4 linked regions of the Arabidopsis thaliana genome follow. The protein of the gene in region 1 interacts with the protein of each later gene in a pairwise test. Each region holds a gene or a part of one and is shown in the gene's direction. Other genes may lie near its edges. The genes, in order: COI1, AT5G42190, JAZ12 and CIP4.

Region 1 (5,637 bases):
TAATTCATCCATTACCTCTATCCCCACCAATGTAGAGGGTTTTATCCAGTCAGAAGGAGAAGTTGAAGAAGCTACTGAGAATTATAATGGAATCAGACAAATTATTGCTTTTGAAGAAGCAGAGTCAACACCAAGTACAATGACCGGACCTCCCCCATTTCCTTTGAAGATGGGTCCACCAGTCTTTTCTCCTTATTATTGCTGGTGCCCTCCAACCACTTCATCGCTTCACGCACCATCTGCCTCTTATCAGTTCCCTCCACTATCCATTGAGCTACCTTCCCTTCCGCCACTTTCCTCCTTATTACCAGCATCGGGATCAGATGGATTCTTGATCCCGTCATCACCGCTCGATCTCTCTGACATCCCTCCATTACCATTAGTCCACCACATACCCATTCCAGGCTCATCATCATCATCATCCCAGCAACAGATGATGATTCCTATAATGTGCGACCCTATTGTTCATATTCCAGTTATCGATATCTTCTCTTCAGGTCAAAGCTATCTGGTAAGCGCTGGACCCACCGGGATAATATCCACGGGCATCCCTCCGCTCCCAGTGGAGAATGATTCGCTGGTCGAGAAAGGTGCAAGAGAAACACTACGATTGCTCATAAGCGGAGCCAATGCAACAACATCTACACCTTTGAACCATCATGGAAGCAGAGGTCTATACAGTGTGAGCCGGGATGTGAGTGGTGTGAGCTTGTTTGCACCTATTGGGTTGCAACAACCGAGTTCAGTTGAGGGAGGAGATGGTGGTGGTGAGAGTGTGAGCTCAAGCGAAGCAGTGCCTGCGCCTCCCAGAGAGACTTCTGGTTAATTTTTTTGGTTCTTTGTAAGTGTGGTCCGAGTTAAGTGTATAGAAAACTCATCTCTCGCCTAGTTTTTGGTTTTGTTCAGCCCAAGTCTTTTGGTTTCAGGTGTAATTAGTCGGGTTTTTTGTAGCTTGCTTATATTACCTTTGTTATTTCCGAGTTTCAAATGAAGCTAAGAAATACGATCATAATAAAAAAGTTCTTTTGCAGTATTCATTTTCTTTCATGGTTCCCTCCTTATTCATAGTCATTGTTGTTCTTTCTAATACTTTTCCTGAGCTTTTTTTTTCTATTGGAAAAACTTTTGTCACTGAAAGAAATTTCAATGTGATTGGTTCTTTTCGCAACTGTAATAAGCACTAAAAGTTAATAATTTGCTGCTTTTTAAGTCTTGTTGCTGAATGATTTAATCCCAAAGACGTTAAAAAAAAGACATGTAAATAGTCTTTGTTCCAAAAGTACCATTTTGAGCGCTTTCTTTCGACAATTGATGTTGAACTTGTACCAAATAAACCTTGAAAATCATACATCATTAAATGTAGTTTTTTGTTATATACTTATATTCATATGGTCCATAATATATAGTTAACCATATTATGGACCATATAAATTCATGCAGTCAACAACTTTTTTTTTCCTCATTAAAAGCTACTAATACTGTAGAAAATTTTTATCTTACAAAAGAAAGGAGAATTATTGTATTTTTATTTTAATCACATATAAAGCAACCAAAGATAACATATACTAGTATTTAGTATTTTTAAATTTTTTGCTTAGGATTCAGGTTATTAATACTCTATAAAGAAATAATTAAATCTATCCATCGAATAAATCACACAGCTTATTGGATCAGTTAAATATTCTAATAATATTGTCGTGTAGCTGAGATCTGACCACTGCAAAAATGAAAAGAAAAACATAGAAGTAGAGAGAAGATCGCATCTCGACCGTCAACTTCAGTGTATGAAATAATGATCGTCCCACTTGATCCTCAAAAATATTATTAACCAAACAAAATTTGATTCCATCGTCCCACTTTCTTCTTCTTCCTCCCAATCCGCCTCTTCTTCCTACGCGTGTCTTCTTCTCCCTCACTCTCTCAATCTCTAGTCTTCTCCGATTCACCGGATCTTTCCTTTCTTACTTCTTTCTTCTCACTCTGGTGGTTATGTGTGGATCTGCGACCTCGATTTCAATTCGAAGTCGTCGGTTTCTTCTCTAAATCGAATCTTTCCAGGATTCGTTTGTTTTTTTCTTTTGTTTTTTTTTCGATCCGATGGAGGATCCTGATATCAAGAGGTGTAAATTGAGCTGCGTCGCGACGGTTGATGATGTCATCGAGCAAGTCATGACCTATATAACTGACCCGAAAGATCGCGATTCGGCTTCTTTGGTGTGTCGGAGATGGTTCAAGATTGATTCCGAGACGAGAGAGCATGTGACTATGGCGCTTTGCTACACTGCGACGCCTGATCGTCTTAGCCGTCGATTCCCGAACTTGAGGTCGCTCAAGCTTAAAGGCAAGCCTAGAGCAGCTATGTTTAATCTGATCCCTGAGAACTGGGGAGGTTATGTTACTCCTTGGGTTACTGAGATTTCTAACAACCTTAGGCAGCTCAAATCGGTGCACTTCCGACGGATGATTGTCAGTGACTTAGATCTAGATCGTTTAGCTAAAGCTAGAGCAGATGATCTTGAGACTTTGAAGCTAGACAAGTGTTCTGGTTTTACTACTGATGGACTTTTGAGCATCGTTACACACTGCAGGTACACTTACTTCTCAGTATCTTGTAGCTACTTTGGCTCGATGCTTTTGAGGTTTAGCGACTCCTTATCATTTCCTACTTTGACTAGAACTCTAGATGCATTTGGCTCTTTTTAAAAAACTTAATAAGTCGTCGTTGTACAAAGAACCATATCTTGAGTTTGTGTTTGTAAAGATTTGATCTTCTTTAGCTCAATTGGGTAAGTTGTAACTTTGGTGGATACTTTTTGTCCTTAATGAAATTGGTGAACCTTACTTCATTTGATTTCTTAGTACACTTTACACTAAGAGTAATATAAGCAGAAACATTTATTTCAGAAAGTTTCAGTATTTAGGCGTTCATGTTTGTCTTATATCCTTAATTGCTTTGCAACTGTTATGCTTGCTATTAAAGCAGAAATTGCAATGATCTTCAGTTATTTCTCAATTGGGGAAGTATAAACTTTGATCCGGATTTTATCTACAACCAATTTTTTCCCTCTTTGGGGAACATTCACTTTGTTTATGCATAAATAGCAAAAAGATTGATTTCTGACATCTTCAGTCTGCCAGAGTTTATGTGTATTATTTGGTTTTTGAATCCTTGATTCGGCTGCTGCTGTTCTTCATATTCAGTTTTAGCGGGAAATCCAAATATCTTGAGTTGTTTCTCACTTTATTCATGCAACTGTCTGTTGTCTTGTCCAGGAAAATAAAAACTTTGTTAATGGAAGAGAGTTCTTTTAGTGAAAAGGATGGTAAGTGGCTTCATGAGCTTGCTCAGCACAACACATCTCTTGAGGTTTTAAACTTCTACATGACGGAGTTTGCCAAAATCAGTCCCAAAGACTTGGAAACCATAGCTAGAAATTGCCGCTCTCTGGTATCTGTGAAGGTCGGTGACTTTGAGATTTTGGAACTAGTTGGGTTCTTTAAGGCTGCAGCTAATCTTGAAGAATTTTGTGGTGGCTCCTTGAATGAGGATATTGGAATGCCTGAGAAGTACATGAATCTGGTTTTTCCCCGAAAACTATGTCGGCTTGGTCTCTCTTACATGGGACCTAATGAAATGCCAATACTATTTCCATTCGCGGCCCAAATCCGAAAGCTGGATTTGCTTTATGCATTGCTAGAAACTGAAGACCATTGTACGCTTATCCAAAAGTGTCCTAATTTGGAAGTTCTCGAGGTAAACGTTTAACTTTGCTGTCTTTACTACATACTTGGGAATGCGTCCTTAGTACTAAATTGTGTTCCTATTTTTTCACGAAATATTTGGGGAGATAAGGGATATGAATGCAATATTGGTTCTCTTTAGTCTTTACATCTATATAAGACTGACAACACTTGTTGTTTTTCTTCAGACAAGGAATGTAATCGGAGATAGGGGTCTAGAGGTCCTTGCACAGTACTGTAAGCAGTTGAAGCGGCTGAGGATTGAACGCGGTGCAGATGAACAAGGAATGGAGGACGAAGAAGGCTTAGTCTCACAAAGAGGATTAATCGCTTTGGCTCAGGGCTGCCAGGAGCTAGAATACATGGCGGTGTATGTCTCAGATATAACTAACGAATCTCTTGAAAGCATAGGCACATATCTGAAAAACCTCTGTGACTTCCGCCTTGTCTTACTCGACCGGGAAGAAAGGATTACAGATCTGCCACTGGACAACGGAGTCCGATCTCTTTTGATTGGATGCAAGAAACTCAGACGATTTGCATTCTATCTGAGACAAGGCGGCTTAACCGACTTGGGCTTAAGCTACATCGGACAGTACAGTCCAAACGTGAGATGGATGCTGCTGGGTTACGTAGGTGAATCAGATGAAGGTTTAATGGAATTCTCAAGAGGCTGTCCAAATCTACAGAAGCTAGAGATGAGAGGTTGTTGCTTCAGTGAGCGAGCAATCGCTGCAGCGGTTACAAAATTGCCTTCACTGAGATACTTGTGGGTACAAGGTTACAGAGCATCGATGACGGGACAAGATCTAATGCAGATGGCTAGACCGTACTGGAACATCGAGCTGATTCCATCAAGAAGAGTCCCGGAAGTGAATCAACAAGGAGAGATAAGAGAGATGGAGCATCCGGCTCATATATTGGCTTACTACTCTCTGGCTGGCCAGAGAACAGATTGTCCAACAACTGTTAGAGTCCTGAAGGAGCCAATATGATATGACCCAAAAAACAGGTTTGTATATAAAGATTTTTAGTCTCGAGTTTTGGGGTTTCCACAAACTGTGTACTATACTACTTTGGTTCTTTTTTTGTTTCATGTTGTGTCGTCGATGTTTTTGGGAGATTACATAGAGTCAGTCTTGTTTGTTGTATGGTCATTACTTCTTTATTTTTCCTCAGGGGTCTGTTTACTTTAATTTCTTTAATAAAACCCCGAAGATTTTGAGAGATTTCTTTATCGTCCATGGTGTTGACTTCTGAGAGCTATATTTGTTTGGATTGGCATCTGAAACTTTATTTGTGGTTGTGATTGTTTTGATAACATTAGTAAAAAGGCAAATAATAGAGTACTAATAATCATTTATAACTTTATAGATGAAAACTTTGATTTCTTGTTCTTACACGAATTCTGAAAACGATGTAACAAGCTTTTGATTGGATTAACAGACGATAAAGGAATCTATTAACAATGAGTGGGCATATCTGAAGCCGACCAAAGGTACCCCATTCAGATTCTTCTAACCATAAAAGGAACCTTTACTATAATACATTATATAGGTAACGAAATAGTTGTCTGTATATGCATCTCATTCACATTTGAGAAGATTCCTTCATATGTTGTGATTTTGTCTAATACGCTTTTGGAGGAATCACGCAAACTCAGGGGTCTTTAATTGGTGAAAGAAGGAGAATGATGGATGAGTAACTGAGCATTGGGTACACATTTGCATCTAAGAAGTGCCTATACTGCTTCATCGCCGTTTCTCTCTCTGGGAGATCCGGTGTTATGCAGTCGTAAGGGCTCGGTTTGCTCGTGTCTACAAATGGCTCCCATCGGTATCCTGGCCTATTCGGTAGCGAAACAAGTGTGGCTAAATGACTGGTGTTGAAGGCCAC
Region 2 (3,771 bases), on another chromosome or scaffold:
AAACTTATTTAATTATAAATAAAAAATCTAAATTCTAAATAAAAAGTAAAAAAAAATTAAATTCTAACCACTTTTTAAAAAATTCAAACCAAAATGTAATCTCGTTTAATTATAAAATCTAACCCTAGTTCTTCTTTGTACACCCAATTCGATATTTAAACTCTTTTAATTGCAAACTCTAAATCTCTAACCGTTCTTTCTAAACCCAAACCGATATTTAACATTGTTTAATTATAAAATCTAAATCCATTTATAAAACCAAACAGACGTTCAATCTCGTTTAGTTATAAAATCTAAAACTGTTTATAACTCAAATCGATATTTAATAGTAAAATCTAAACTTCAATCCTTTCTTATAAACCCAAAACTATATAAAATTTTGTTCTTGTGGCAAATTAGATTTTATAATAAAATAAATTTAATTTATTTATTAGGTATAAATTCTAATTTAATGGAATAAAAAGGTGAATAAAGGGGTGAATCTAAATATATTTTTTATTGGCCCATATTTTTTACTAGGATAATGGCCGATTATGCTTTGGTGAAAATTTAGATAACGCAAGTTAGATTTTTCTCACTTTATTTAATAAGATAAGATTTTAGCGGGGATGAAATTTTTACAAGCGAATCCCTCAATATTTCACTTATGTTCGTGGATGATAGCTTCTTTTTTGTAAAACGACAAAAAAAACAATGCGTCATTGGATTTGGAATACTAAAGAACTATGAAGAGGTTTTTGGTCATGAGTTGACAACTCGATGATGGACAAACTTATGGCAATCTTCGAAATCACTAATATAGGGGACATGAACAACTACTTGAGATTATCGAAAAGTTTAGGAGGATCTAAGACAAAAAAAATTTACTCTTTTAGAAAATATTTACATAATAGAATAAATGGTTGGTTTACAAAATTCTTATCTAAAGATGGCAAAGAAGTATTGATTAAATCAGTACCAGATGCATTGCTTACTTATGTATTGTCTTGTTTTAGATTACCAAAATCAGTAACATCAAAACTTAGGAATGTAGTAACGAAATTTTGGTAGAGTTCCAATGGACGAACAAAACGTTTACAGTGGAAGGCATGAGATAAATTTTGTCATAGTGCCTCTCTGCTCTCCCTCTCCTCCTCCGGGTGCCTCTCTGCTTGCTACTTGGTTCCGTCTCTTCAGTTAGGTCCTCCTCTGCGGTTCAGGTTTCCTTATGAGTTTTTTGAGTCCTTGGGTCGTTCCCTCTTCGTTCTTTTGGTTTTTGGGCCTGCTATTTTTAAGTTTCAGCTTCTTTGGTTGTTTTGGGCTTTGCTCTTGTTGTCGGGCCTGCGCGCCTTGGATTTGAGCTTTTGGATGTGTATGTTTTCGAGCCTGTGTGCTTATGTTTGGACACTTGTCTTATAACTTGTTGTTTGTTTTAATGGAAATTTAAAATTAAAAAAAAATAAGAAAAATAAAATAAAAAATAAATAAGTTTTGTCGTAACGGTGGACTTGGTTTCTAGAATGTGGATGATTTTAATACAACTTAATTAGCAAAACAACTGCCGCAATTGATTATGATTCTTAACTCTTTATTTGCAAAGATGTTCAAAGAAAAATATTACCGGAAATCAAATCACATGAATCCAATTAAATTATACACACCATCCTACAAATAGAGGAGTTTAGTATCTGTTCAACTACTGATTAATCAAAAGTTGATGAAAAGAGTTGAATTAATTTTCAGGTGTTTTCCTTTGAAAGAAAAAAACAGAGAAAATGTTTTAAAATGAAAATTTATAGGTAAAAAAAGTCAATTGGGAATCGTTAGATCTCACTGGTTCAATGTGTGAGCCGGGCTTTAAAAACATTTTGATTTAACCCATACACACATCTCTCTGTTCCACGATTCTCTTCCTCAGCCTCCACGTCGTCTCTAAACTCAGCAAAAACCAATGTCGACGGTGAGAAAAATCACTCTTAAGAGTTCGGATGGCGAAAACTTCGAAATTGACGAAGCGGTGGCGCTAGAGTCACAAACCATCAAACATATGATTGAAGATGACTGTACCGATAATGGTATCCCTCTCCCTAATGTCACAAGCAAGATCCTTTCGAAGGTGATTGAGTACTGTAAGAGACATGTCGAAGCTGCTGAGAAATCCGAAACCACGGCCGATGCTGCTGCTGCTACTACTACCACCACCGTCGCGTCGGGTTCTAGTGATGAAGATCTCAAGACTTGGGATTCTGAGTTTATCAAAGTTGATCAGGGCACTCTCTTCGATCTTATCCTGGTTTGTCAAACTTATTTTTAATTGCTTTGGTTTTCAAAGTTTGCGATTTCATTTCTAGGGTTTGAGATCTTGATTTCTGTTTGAGATCTAATTTTAGGGTTCAGGTTTTGTTTAGATTGCCAATTTCACAGTTTAAACTATGATCATGTCTGATTGAAATATATGGTCTGATAGAGAAAAAAGTGTCAAGAGATTTCTTTTGAGTTTGTTGGATTTGTTTATAGCTGAAGACCACTTTACATCCAAACTCATGTTTTTTATGTTCTGTCTTAAACATTGGATAATGTTTAATTTCTTTGGGATTTGCTTGAATCTAGATTTGTTTTTCTGAGAAACCTTTTGGATGCTAACATGACATGTTTTGTTCTGTCTGAAACGAGTGATAAAGTTTATTTTCTTTGGAATCGTAGTTCAATATGTTTGATTTGCTTGAACAATAAAGTTCCATTTTTATCTGAAAGTTGAAGAGCTTGAATCTAAGTTGGTTTCCCTGTGACACCTTTTAGGCTGCTAACTACTTGAATATCAAGGGACTGTTGGACTTGACTTGCCAGACAGTGGCTGATATGATTAAAGGAAAAACCCCAGAAGAAATCCGTAAGACGTTCAATATCAAGAACGACTTCACGCCAGAGGAAGAAGAAGAGGTTCGCCGTGAGAATCAGTGGGCGTTTGAATGAAGAAAAATGAAGACCTAGGTTGCTGTCATGTCCTCGACCCATTTGTGTCTCCCTGTCTTATCTTCTTTCTTTGACTATATATCCATTCTCTTCTACGTGATGGTCCAGCTAAGACAGTGGGTCGGATGTTAATGTTATGTTATGTATGTCAAATTAAAGACTTAACTACGAAACATATTGAAGTTGTTGCTCAAAAGAGAGTGTTGGTCTTCTATTGTTTCGTCAATCATTTAGATAGGTTGTGAACACAAGTGATAAGATTTGTCTGCATGTTCTTAGAAAGAGAAAAGATCTTATTACTTGTAAATAAATGCCTATACAAGCACACACGAGAGATTGATAGATAATTCTGATACAAGAACCTCTGCCTTAATCTTTAGAAAGGCCCATTCACAAGTAATCAATGTGACGAAAGAAAACGAAAGACATAAAAATGTAGTAGTAACGTGATGTTGGAAGCGTAGATTGAGATTCTAGCGAACCCTTCTGCAGTTAAGTCTGACCTCATTGCCATTCCCACTGATACTACTCATCTTGATCATCGATTTCACAAAAGCCCTCTCGAACTCTTCGTTGGAATTTGCATATTTGGCCACGAGTTTCTTAGTAGAGGGTACTGCAAGAAGCGATTCGTCGGATGAGAATAGTGACTTGCCTTGGATAAGCATCTTGTAGTAGATATTGTCGAATGACGTCACGGTTCCATCCATGTTCGATCCAGCATTCTTCACCGTGTTATGGGCCGGGCACACTCCCTCCAACCTGGCTGCGAATGAGGGGTTTAGTGTTGGGTCAACCTCCTTTTGTGTGTTGAATTTA
Region 3 (4,000 bases), on another chromosome or scaffold:
AGAAACCAGAAAACGAAAAAATTAGAAATCATTGCCATAGTGAGAGAAGCTGATACAAAGTTGACATCTTAACACTTAAAGCTCCAAAAGTGTACCTGCTATGATGGTCATAGGGTGAATCTTAGAAGCCACAAGCTTTTCTGCTTCCCTCAGAAGCTCGCCGGCCAAGACAACAACAGAGGTAGTTCCATCACCAACCTCATCATCTTGAACTTTCGAGATGTCTGAAGAACAAACCAGATACAACGAACTGTGAGAGAAAACCCAACTAAGAAAAAACGAATGTGAAAACTTCATGCCAGAATGTCGCAGGGAAATTACATACCAACAAGAACTTTAGCTGCAGGGTTGTCTATGTGAAGTGACTTGAGAATAGTAGCACCATCGTTAGTAACAGTGACCGCATGACCTCTACCAGTAGATTGCAAGATTTTATCCTAAACAATAATAAAAAGGATTCAACAATAATCAATAGAACCAAATTGAAAGTTTGTAGCTTTCTAAATATTCAGAGATCGGAAATTACCATGCCCTTTGGCCCTAAAGTAGACTTAACCAGATCACTGATAGCCATTGCACCAACAAATGATGCCTAAAAGAGCAACAACAAAAGAAAAGAAAATCAGATTTAAACAGTAGAAGAGTGAATCTGAAAAACCCTAAATCCTAATCGATTCAAAAGACTCACCATCCTCGCACGTTCTCCCTTCTCTTCACTAGCATCATCTTTGAAGATCTTATCGATCTAAATACGAAATAGCTAAGTTCAGTTAACGGAGAGCACTGGGGAAAAGCAAAAGGATTGAAAGAGACGACGGAGGAACATTACCGGCATCGGGAAGAGCGGAAAAAGAAGAAGGAGGCTTCTTCAGTATCGGAGATATCCAAGTTAGTCGAATCTGAGACTAGCGAGAAACAATAGATGGGATCGTTCACGAAGAACGAACAAGCCGAGAGGATCTCGAAATATTGAGTGTGCTTTTGAAGAAGAGTAGAAAATGAGAGGAGAGAGCCAAAACCCAGATCTTTCGGAACCCTAAATGAAACTCGTAAAGACCAAACTACCCTCGTATTTCCCAGATTTCTTATGCGCCCTTCAGTAAAAACTAAAAAGTTTAGATTAACCCTTAACCAAAAAGTTATAAGTTACATTAAGAAGTAAATTTTATAGTTTCGACAATTTTGCATTTTGTTTGATTATATAGAGGAAAAAAAAAAATGTTCCATATACAAATTTGAATTTGGTGATGATTTAGCGGTCGAATACAAAAACAGAAATAAATTAATTCGTGATTTGTATGCGAATATTGTTACTAAAAAAAACTATAAATGTAAAGAGGCTTATAAAATAGAAAGAGAAACATTATAAATGTAAGCAGTCAAGGTCCATTTTAGAAGTCATTTTAAGACGACTAAGCCCAACAGTACTTTAAGAGCCCAATGAATCAAGGTCCAGCAAACTCAATTAGTTTAACGTCTCAGCCACTTATAAATTATACACGTTTGGAGTTCCGGATAACCGAAATGAGAAAGCATGTCCCACATAGAAGGCCAACGACACCGTATCATATTCGAGCACGTTTCTAATTACCCTCTTGTTGTCTTTTACTGTCGTAGCACCAAAAGTCAAACAATAAAAATCAATATCTATCGCCAGGTGTCAAATTACAGGAGCTTCTGAGAAGGATAAATCTCGGAGGTTCCCGGTCTGAACGACGTAGAGACGAAGCGAAACAAAAGTACTCTAAGGGAGAGAAGTATCAAAATTCTCATCGGAAAAAGACAGATCTACAAATTTTGAGAGACAAGCCATGACTAAGGTGAAAGATGAGCCACGCGCTTCCGTTGAAGGTGGATGTGGTGTTGCCGACGGTGACGGCGGCGCGGCTGAGATCGGCGGTACCGGATCTGTTGAGAAATCGATTAACGAAGTTAGGTATGAGCTGTGTTTACTGTTGATTTCACATGTTTTTATCTGTTTCTCTCTTTGCTTTGAGTTTAGTACTTAAAATTGTATCTTGTTTCTGATAAGGAAGATCAGCATTTCGATCTGGTTACTTTAGTTTCTATTTAGGGAAAGTCATATTTCTCAATGGAACCAATTTGTTTTTTGGCTGGAACAATTGGATTCTTAACAAACTTGTGTTTTTCAAAGTCCTTTAATGCATACATAAGTTTTCATGTGAATTTGATTAATAGAACTTCACCGTTAACATGTGAAATTGGAGAGACTGGATTCATATGTGGAGAGTTTTCTTAATGTTGCATCAATAAGTCCATCTTTATAGTGTCGGTCACAAGTTTAATAGATCTTCTGCTATTGAAGGTCCACGGAGATTCAAACCGCTGAGCCAACGGTTCCTCCAAATCAACTTACTATTTTCTTTGGTGGAAGTGTTACTGTGTTTGATGGACTTCCATCAGAAAAGGTTGGTCCATTAGAGCTTTGTTGTTGTCAGAAAAACTTCAGAATTTCTGTTCTCACTGTGATCTATGCCTATAGGTTCAAGAAATCCTTCGTATTGCTGCTAAAGCAATGGAGACAAAGAATTCTACAAGCATCAGTCCTGTCTCATCGCCAGCACTGAACAGAGCTCCTTCTTTCTCAAGCACATCTAATGTGGCATCACCAGCTGCACAGCCATTTCCTATTCAGCCAATCTCGTTTTGCAGATCCACGGCTGGTAAGTATTCGATTCAACTGGTTATAGTAATCTTCAAACCTTGAAAATGGATACTCTCATTAGTTTCTTACAATTATGTTTGCCGTAACAGATCTACCTATTGCAAGGAGGCATTCGCTTCAACGATTCCTCGAGAAAAGACGGGACAGGTATGCAGCCTTTAAAATTACACTTCATCCTTCTCCATTTCAATGGAAATTCAAATCTGATCTATTTTATTCAGTTTTTGATTGATTACTAATACAGAGCTTGTTAATGTACCTGTGAGAGACTTGTAAAGACAGATTGATCATAATGTTTAACCTTGATATTGCATCTAACAATAACATTCACTTTTTTTTATCTGCAGATTGGTCAACAAAAACCCTTACCCTACTTCAGACTTCAAAAAGACAGATGTCCCAACAGGCAATGTCTCTATCAAGGAGGAATTTCCAACTGCTTAGCAGAAGATCAAACCTCCACATTAAGCTTATAAGCAAACTAAGTAAAACGTTTTGTCAATATAGTAATTAATATGATAATCTATCATGTACGCTGCTGTGTGTAATGTGTTGTATGATAGTGTCTGTATAGGTTTGCTAGACAAACCGAAGATTGTTTCCATGTCTGGGAGTGGTCAGATATGTTTGCCATTTTACAATTCTACTGAAGAAACTATTGTAGTTAGTAACACTGTCCTAGAGTCTATCTAACTAATGACTCTTTGATGTTATGTTATTGAACTTGTCATCTCTTCAAGATACAATTGTGTGTAAAGTAAAGAAGTCTGTGTTGTTATTATAAGCTTTCATACAAAAGACATTGAATCTATATGTAAAATGGGATTTATAATTGTGAATGATGAACAACAATTCGGAGATGTTTCAAGGAAAGACAATGGGAGTGTGCCATAACTGATTGAAATTTAAACGTACATATATTCACCTCCGCGGACAGCATTCTCTGCGCCCTTCCTCTCTTCTTCGGCCTCTTTCTCTCTCTCTTTCCAGTTTTCGTATTTCTGATCGTCTGTTGGTAATTCATGGCGGCATATAGGGCAAGAGTTATGCTCGTCCTGCCATAAAACAATATGAGCATAAGCTTTATGTTCTTACTTACTAGTAAGCTTGAAAGAATGGGATTTTTTTTTTTATACCAGCCAAGGCTTTAGGCAAGGAGGGTGAAATGTGTGCTTGCATGGCAATTCCTGCATCTTGTCGCCAATAACTAGATTCTCCTTGCAGATGCAACATTCTGCCTCTGCTCCAAACTTTTTAAGCAATTCCTCGGTGAAAATAATGACTGGGAGTTTCTCTACAACTTCTTTACTTGCC
Region 4 (6,218 bases), on another chromosome or scaffold:
GGATACATGCAAACCATTGAGAAAGAAGAAGCTTAAATTAGCAAACTTGATCTAATCCATTGTGCAATAGTTCTGTGGAACACACAGAGAGATCATCTTCTCAAGGGACTTTGTGCCAATAATGCTTTTGAGCAATGCATCAAAAGAGTAGCCTGATTCACATTTGTTATAACTCAAAAGTAATAATGTCTTTCATGATACTTGTGCATTACGACAGAACATATCTTAAATGTTTATACATAACATTAAGACAGAACTGATTACATAATAATGATTACGCCTCAAGAAATCAAATGGACTTCAAATTCTATACCTAAACATAAGAAGACACCTCCAAGACCCTAACCCTCCTCGTCCTCGTCCTCGTCCTCCTCCTCGTATGGAACTTTGCGACACAAGGGACACGAGTTTTGAAGACCAAGCCACTCGAATAGACAACCTTGGTGAAACAAATGTAAACAATCAGGCACCCGAATGATGTCTTCATGACTCTCCGAAAACTTCTCAATACAAATCGAACATGTCTCATCTTCTTCTTCCAAATCAGCAGATTCAACTCTCTGTTCTTCAACCAATCTATGAAACACTTCTCCGGAAGCACCTCTCGACAACAACGACGGACCATGAGGAAAAATTACACGCCTCTCTTTGATATATGTCACATAGACGGTTACGGTAACAGGTTGTCGAAGAGAGTTATCATTAGCAAATGAATCCTTAACATCATGAGCGATTTTTTGACCTAAAAATTGATCATCAAGGAGTTGAGTGAGAACACGTCGCGTGAGACGACGAGGATTCAAGAGGATGTGAGCATTTGTTTCAAGTGGAGATGTGTACCATCCTAAATTTGCTACAATTCCACTTTCGTATTCAATCAATTCTTCAATTTCTTCTTCTTGGTAGATTAAGACTGTGTTCGTAACCCCTACAATTTTAGGTCGATTTGATACCATCGTAGAGACTTCTATTGTTCTCAACGTCTCAGTCTCCATATGGCAGAGTAGAAGTTTTTCAAACAAAAATTAATGAAACCCTAACTTGCAAAAGAAGAGTAAGAGAAGCGAAAAGAGAATGAAATAGATTTCTTCAGATGACATGTCTCATCAATTTATATAGAGACGAGTTGTACAATATCATTTGTTGTTTCATTTTTTTAATCGATAAGATTCATGTTTTCCTTTTCTAAAACTCTACCGCTGTAACTTGTAAGTTAAGTTAATCTACATATTTAACACTGTACCGGAATTATATCCCCAAAACATTGTTTGGTATTATTTCGGTTTATTCTGGTTTAGTGAGAAACAAAATAATAAACGTCAACAGAGATTTTTAAACCTAAATCTCGACAATAGAACCAGTACCTCTTGTTCATGAAGGAGTTGAGGAATGAAGTGAGATAAATAACGTGGCCTGAAGCTTCGTGGCTTCAAGGCGGATGTGAGAACCCGTTTGAAGTGGAGAACTGTATTTGTTATCAATTTATCCACTTTCGTCTTCATTCAAATGTTCTATCTCTCCGTTTAGATATAATATAAGAAAACACAACCACCAAAAGAGTCCTATAATAATCGCAAATATGTATGCTATTTACGACTAATTTGAGACTATTATGAGTAGTCCCGAACAAGATGGTCGCACAATAGTCACAAATTTGCGACTAGAGTGTGACACTAATATATAGTGTATATTGGCGACTACTTGGAGACACAAAAATCATGAGCGATTGTTTGATATATTTCACATGCATAGACGGTTGTCGAAGAGAGTTATCATTAGCAAGTGAATCCTTAACACAATGAGCGATTGTTTGACCTAAAAATTGATCATCAAGGAGTTGAGTGATAATAAGTCGCGTGAGACGAGGAGGATTCAAGAGGATATGAGCATTTGTTTCAAGAGGAGAACTGTACCATCCTAAATTTGCTACAATTCCACTTTCGCATTCAATCAAAACGAGAAAGTTTTGGGCTTAAATAGGGTTTTGCTGAAAAGTTTTTGGGCTTATATAGGGCTGGACCATTAAACAGAAAAGTTTTATCCTTTTTTCTTTCTCCCAAACGCTCTCTTCTTCTTCTTCTTCTTCTTCTTCTTCGCTCGTCTCCTTCCAATTCCAGTCTCGTTTCGAAATAATGGCTAATCGCGAAACAAATTCCTCACCGGAGATTCGATGCGTCTTTGTAGAAACCAACCTCGACACTCGTCTCATTTTACATGTGCATAAAGATGAAATCATCTCCGATTTCAAAGGTCTCTCTTCTCAAATTTATCACTGAATCGGCTTACTAAATCTCTTCATACTCCACTGAAATCTACTACTTAAACTTATTATTACTGAGTTTCTCTGATCATTTTTTTTTTTTTTGGTTTGGTTTATAGACAGATTACTCAAGGAGCATAAACAAGTTTTCCCAGAAATTGGAGAAATTCAAATCTCTGCCTTGAAGGTAATTGGATTTTGCTGCTTTGTTCATACATTTTTGTTGTTAGGAACAAGTATAATTGATGATTGGTTTAATTTTGTTTCAAGGTTAAAAGACGAAGAAAGTTTTATCATTTCTCAGATTCTTTGCATGTGTGTAAGGCTTTTGATGGCATTAGTAGAAACTGGTTTATGTATATTGATGCCATTAGAGTTGACAAGGGTAAGATGTATGCTATAATGGCTGCTGATCAAAACCTTGAGTTGGTTGAGAAGAAGGAAGAGATTGCAAATGGTTTAGTACTTGTAGATGATATGAATAATAAGGATTTGACTAGTGGAGAAGGTTTGGAAACCGAAGTAGTTGAGGAGAAGACAAGGAAGAGGAGAATTATAAGTCCGGGTGGGAATACAAGTCCAAAGAAATCTAAGGTTGATCTCAGTCCATCTGCTGTTGCTGCTACTACCGAGTTATGTGGAAAAGTAAAGGGTGAAGTTGTCTCTCAATCTTGTGCAGTTTCACCAAGAGAAAAGCTAGATGATGTTGTTACGAGAGCAGGTACCCTCTGTTTTGGTTAATATGGAATGTAGTGATTTTTCAGATGTTTTTGGAGAGTGTCAGTTGAATTACCTTTGGTTGTAATATCTGATGTTGTATAGATATTGAAAGCGGCGAGAAAAGCGGCCTTAGTATGGGAGAGAAGCAGCAAACTTCTGTTACGGAAAGGCTACTGGAAGAGAAAAATCTCACTGTTAATTCAGAGCTTGTAGATGGGCATACCGGTGGTGTGGTGAAGGAAGTACCAGACAATCAAACTATTAAAGAAGCTCTAGAAAAAGTAGATGATCTTACGGGAACAATAGAACAAGGTGAATTTTCTTTTTTTAACTATGATTGAGTTTTGGGATCCTTTATTAGTTGTTATGGAGAGTTATGGTATGCTTACCCTTGATAACATTTCTGAATTTCTGTAGATCTTGAAAAGGGAGGAAAAACTGCTGATATAGTCATGATTGACCAAGAGAAGGATCTTCCACCTGCTTCAAAACTTGTAGATGGGCAGATTACGTCACAAGTTGATGAGAGAGGTGAGGGAAGAAGATTGGCTCCAAGTGCTGTCGATAATCTTCAAACTGCTGAAGTGGTGACTAACGTGGATAACCAGTTGGAAGCTAGCAGTAGTTTGACAACTGGTCCAGCTACAGAGAAGAAGAGAAAGCGAATGAAGAGCTCAAAAGATCACATCAAACAAAATGGTAAGACAAAATGGTAAATTGGATTCTTGGTCGAAGATAGTTCTTCTTTTCAATCATATGTTAATGTCACAGGGAGTTATTATCAACTCATAACTGGTGATTTTTTTTTTTTTGGAAGGAAATGAGATGGCTGACATATTGGTTGACAAGGTGGGAAGTGGAGAGGCCACACTTATCGGTGCAGACGAAATACAAGCTGCGAGTAATCTACAAGTTGCTGGTATGGCGAGCACCCCACATGCCTTTGTCCAGGAATCGAAAACGCTGGACCACATAGGTAAAGTTACGGATACTGAACATAAAGTTCCTCAGGAAAGAGTTGAAATAGATGCTGATCAGGCTAAATCTGTGAAGTCTACTAAGAAGAAAAGTTCAAGAAAAGCCAAGACCCCAGCTAAAGAAGATACTCTGGTAGATTTTGGTGCACAGAATGTTGAACCTATCAAAGTTGTAGATGGAGAAGGACATGTTAATGATATCAGAAATGTATTAGATTCTTTGCAGCAAAGGACCGAAGTTGAGGAGAATATGGAGAAAAGTGGGAAGAAATCAAGCAAGAGATCGAAGAAGAAAGACTCTTTGAACATTGTGGAGGAGGCCCAAGTAGTAGATTCTTTGCAGCAAAAGAAAGAAGCTGAGGAAAATCTGGAAAAAAGTGGGAAGAAGTCAAGCAAGAAAACAAAGAAGAAAGACTCTTTGAACATTGTGGAGGAAGCCCAAGTTTTGTCAGTTGAGGTAAACAATGTTGCTCAGGAGGAGGCTTCTCCCATCAACAACCCAAAAGACACAGATGCATCATTCACGCCAGCTAAGAAAACTACTGAGAGCAATGCTTCGCCTTTGAAAAAGATTAGTGAGGTCACCGATAATACTGAGGATCTTAACCGTTCCATGCAAGTACTGAAAGAGAACGCTGATATGGGAGACAATTTTGGTTCTAGCCAAAAGGACGATATTGTTGGTGGTACTAACAAGGAAGACCAAGTGACTGGTGGAGCTAAATCTAAAAAGGAGAAGAAAAGCCTTGATTTGCATCCTGGTGGTTCCATTGATGGCTCAATGAAAGTGAAAGAGACAAAAGGTAGAGTTCAACCATCTAGTTCAGGTACTAGTCAATTGCAGTCAAGGGCTAAGAATGATCGCAATGGATCAAAGGTTGATCTTTCTGATGCATCCATGAAAGGCACAGTAAACAACAAGAAGGAAGCCGTGAAGAAAAGCTCTAATTCGGTTACAGTGAACAATAGTAAGGTGAATGTCAACAACAAGAAGGAAGTTGTGAAGAAAATCTCTAACTCAGTCACGGCGAACAAGATCACAACGAATTTCTTCAAGGATGCTGAGGAGGATGAATCTAAGACGACTTCGAGTGACTCCTCTAATGCACCATCAGATAGTTCATCAGACAATGATAGTGATGTGACTTCTTCTATGTATATGAAGCAAGGTATTTTATCGATCTGAATATAACTTTGATCACACGTTCTCTCAACCAGATATGCTAATTTCGATTCTTGGTTTCAACAGGAAATAATCTCGTTGGAGGAACAAATAGGTAAGTAACCGGTTCAGGGTATTATTATTTTCAATCTTAGCTGCACAGACTACTGTCATGAACTCTTTTACTCGTCTTGTGAACAGGTTATCAGGGAGCCTGCAAGATATCCTAAGAAGCTCAAAAAGTTACAAGGCGGCGAAACTGACAGCTTCTCTATCACAATCGGTTGCATTCGATGATGAGAGCCTTGGGATAAATGTTGTCCCAGATAGCCAAGCCGCCATCTAAGTTTTATTGATTATCCTTTTGGATTCAATTTTGACCAAAATCTTCAAATCACGGTTTTGCTTGTTCTAACTAATTCTGGTATGGTGCTTCTTCTCTGACATTTTATGTTAATCGGAAGTGCTTTATAAGAGGTATTGCAACAGCTAAATGTTAATCTCGTCTCGGTTAATCCTCGTGTTTGGTTCCATAATACTTGAATCCCAGATTTCTTGAGCTTCAAGATAACAAATCCTTCAACTTCAACATGTTAACATCAGTAATATCATACAAAACCTACTAAGAATCAATGGTAAAAATCAAATACATTGTGTTTCTTTTTCCCTTTATTATACTTGCAATCACACAACTTGAGTATCTTACACATGAAACTACAATGCGTATAAATATAACTGAAGCATCAACATGTTTCAGATTTTCCTGATATTAGCTCACTTGTTCAGAAGAGAGCTTAAGCACCAAACAACCTGAAACTCAATCGCGGCTGTGTTCGCTTCGAGCTGTAAAAATATGAAGAAAATTTACAAATTTATAACATGAATATATTACTCTTATATAATCCGTAGTGATTCTAAATGTAAATTAACTTACCCTTTTGATGCTGATGGTTTCACCAAAGGCTTTGGAGGAAGAGGAGGAGGCTCAGGAATATCACTCAATATGGGTATAGTTTTCACCTGTTTTAAACAAATGGTTAAAAAAAACATTCACACAAAGTGAAAACAAAAATAAAAGACTAATAGTTTTACCAAATTT

The links.
Region 2: the proteins of COI1 (region 1) and AT5G42190 interact in binary tests that used the Arabidopsis thaliana proteins (3 or more experiments, as listed by UniProt).
Region 3: the proteins of COI1 (region 1) and JAZ12 interact in a two-hybrid assay, tested with the Arabidopsis thaliana proteins (one study listed by BioGRID).
Region 4: the proteins of COI1 (region 1) and CIP4 interact in a two-hybrid assay, tested with the Arabidopsis thaliana proteins (one study listed by BioGRID).

Annotation. Positions count from the first base shown.
Region 1 is NC_003071.7:16,671,947-16,677,583, reverse strand, and holds COI1 (RNI-like superfamily protein), read left to right. Parts: upstream 1-1,719; 5' UTR 1,720-2,097; coding exon 2,098-2,588; intron 2,589-3,273; coding exon 3,274-3,754; intron 3,755-3,929; coding exon 3,930-4,736; 3' UTR 4,737-5,091; downstream 5,092-5,637. Other genes in the region: AT2G39950 (flocculation protein), read left to right, coding at 1-826; ISA1 (isoamylase 1), read right to left, coding at 5,401-5,637. UniProt on the Arabidopsis thaliana protein: Required for jasmonate-regulated plant fertility and defense processes, and for coronatine and/or other elicitors perceptions/responses. Seems to not be required for meiosis. Required for the regulation of some genes induced by wounding, but not for all.
Region 2 is NC_003076.8:16,853,676-16,857,446, reverse strand, and holds AT5G42190 (E3 ubiquitin ligase SCF complex subunit SKP1/ASK1 family protein), read left to right. Parts: upstream 1-1,705; 5' UTR 1,706-1,930; coding exon 1,931-2,272; intron 2,273-2,778; coding exon 2,779-2,952; 3' UTR 2,953-3,256; downstream 3,257-3,771. Other genes in the region: PER64 (Peroxidase superfamily protein), read right to left, coding at 3,426-3,771.
Region 3 is NC_003076.8:7,089,072-7,093,071, forward strand, and holds JAZ12 (jasmonate-zim-domain protein 12), read left to right. Parts: upstream 1-1,632; 5' UTR 1,633-1,811; coding exon 1,812-1,936; intron 1,937-2,326; coding exon 2,327-2,429; intron 2,430-2,503; coding exon 2,504-2,684; intron 2,685-2,775; coding exon 2,776-2,833; intron 2,834-2,843; exon of another isoform or gene 2,844-3,033; coding exon 3,034-3,130; 3' UTR 3,131-3,468; downstream 3,469-4,000. Other genes in the region: AT5G20890 (TCP-1/cpn60 chaperonin family protein), read right to left, coding at 96-224, 326-437, 527-592, 689-745, 830-835; AIP2 (RING/U-box superfamily protein), read right to left, coding at 3,592-3,741, 3,823-4,000. UniProt on the Arabidopsis thaliana protein: Repressor of jasmonate responses.
Region 4 is NC_003076.8:14,722,609-14,728,826, reverse strand, and holds CIP4 (COP1-interacting protein 4), read left to right. Parts: upstream 1-2,008; 5' UTR 2,009-2,132; coding exon 2,133-2,250; intron 2,251-2,379; coding exon 2,380-2,447; intron 2,448-2,530; coding exon 2,531-2,981; intron 2,982-3,082; coding exon 3,083-3,292; intron 3,293-3,397; coding exon 3,398-3,679; intron 3,680-3,797; coding exon 3,798-5,126; coding exon of another isoform or gene 5,127-5,143; exon of another isoform or gene 5,144-5,206; coding exon 5,207-5,234; coding exon of another isoform or gene 5,235-5,238; exon of another isoform or gene 5,239-5,320; coding exon 5,321-5,465; 3' UTR 5,466-5,683; downstream 5,684-6,218. Other genes in the region: AT5G37200 (RING/U-box superfamily protein), read right to left, coding at 342-995; SUS5 (sucrose synthase 5), read right to left, coding at 5,914-5,962, 6,054-6,139, 6,212-6,218.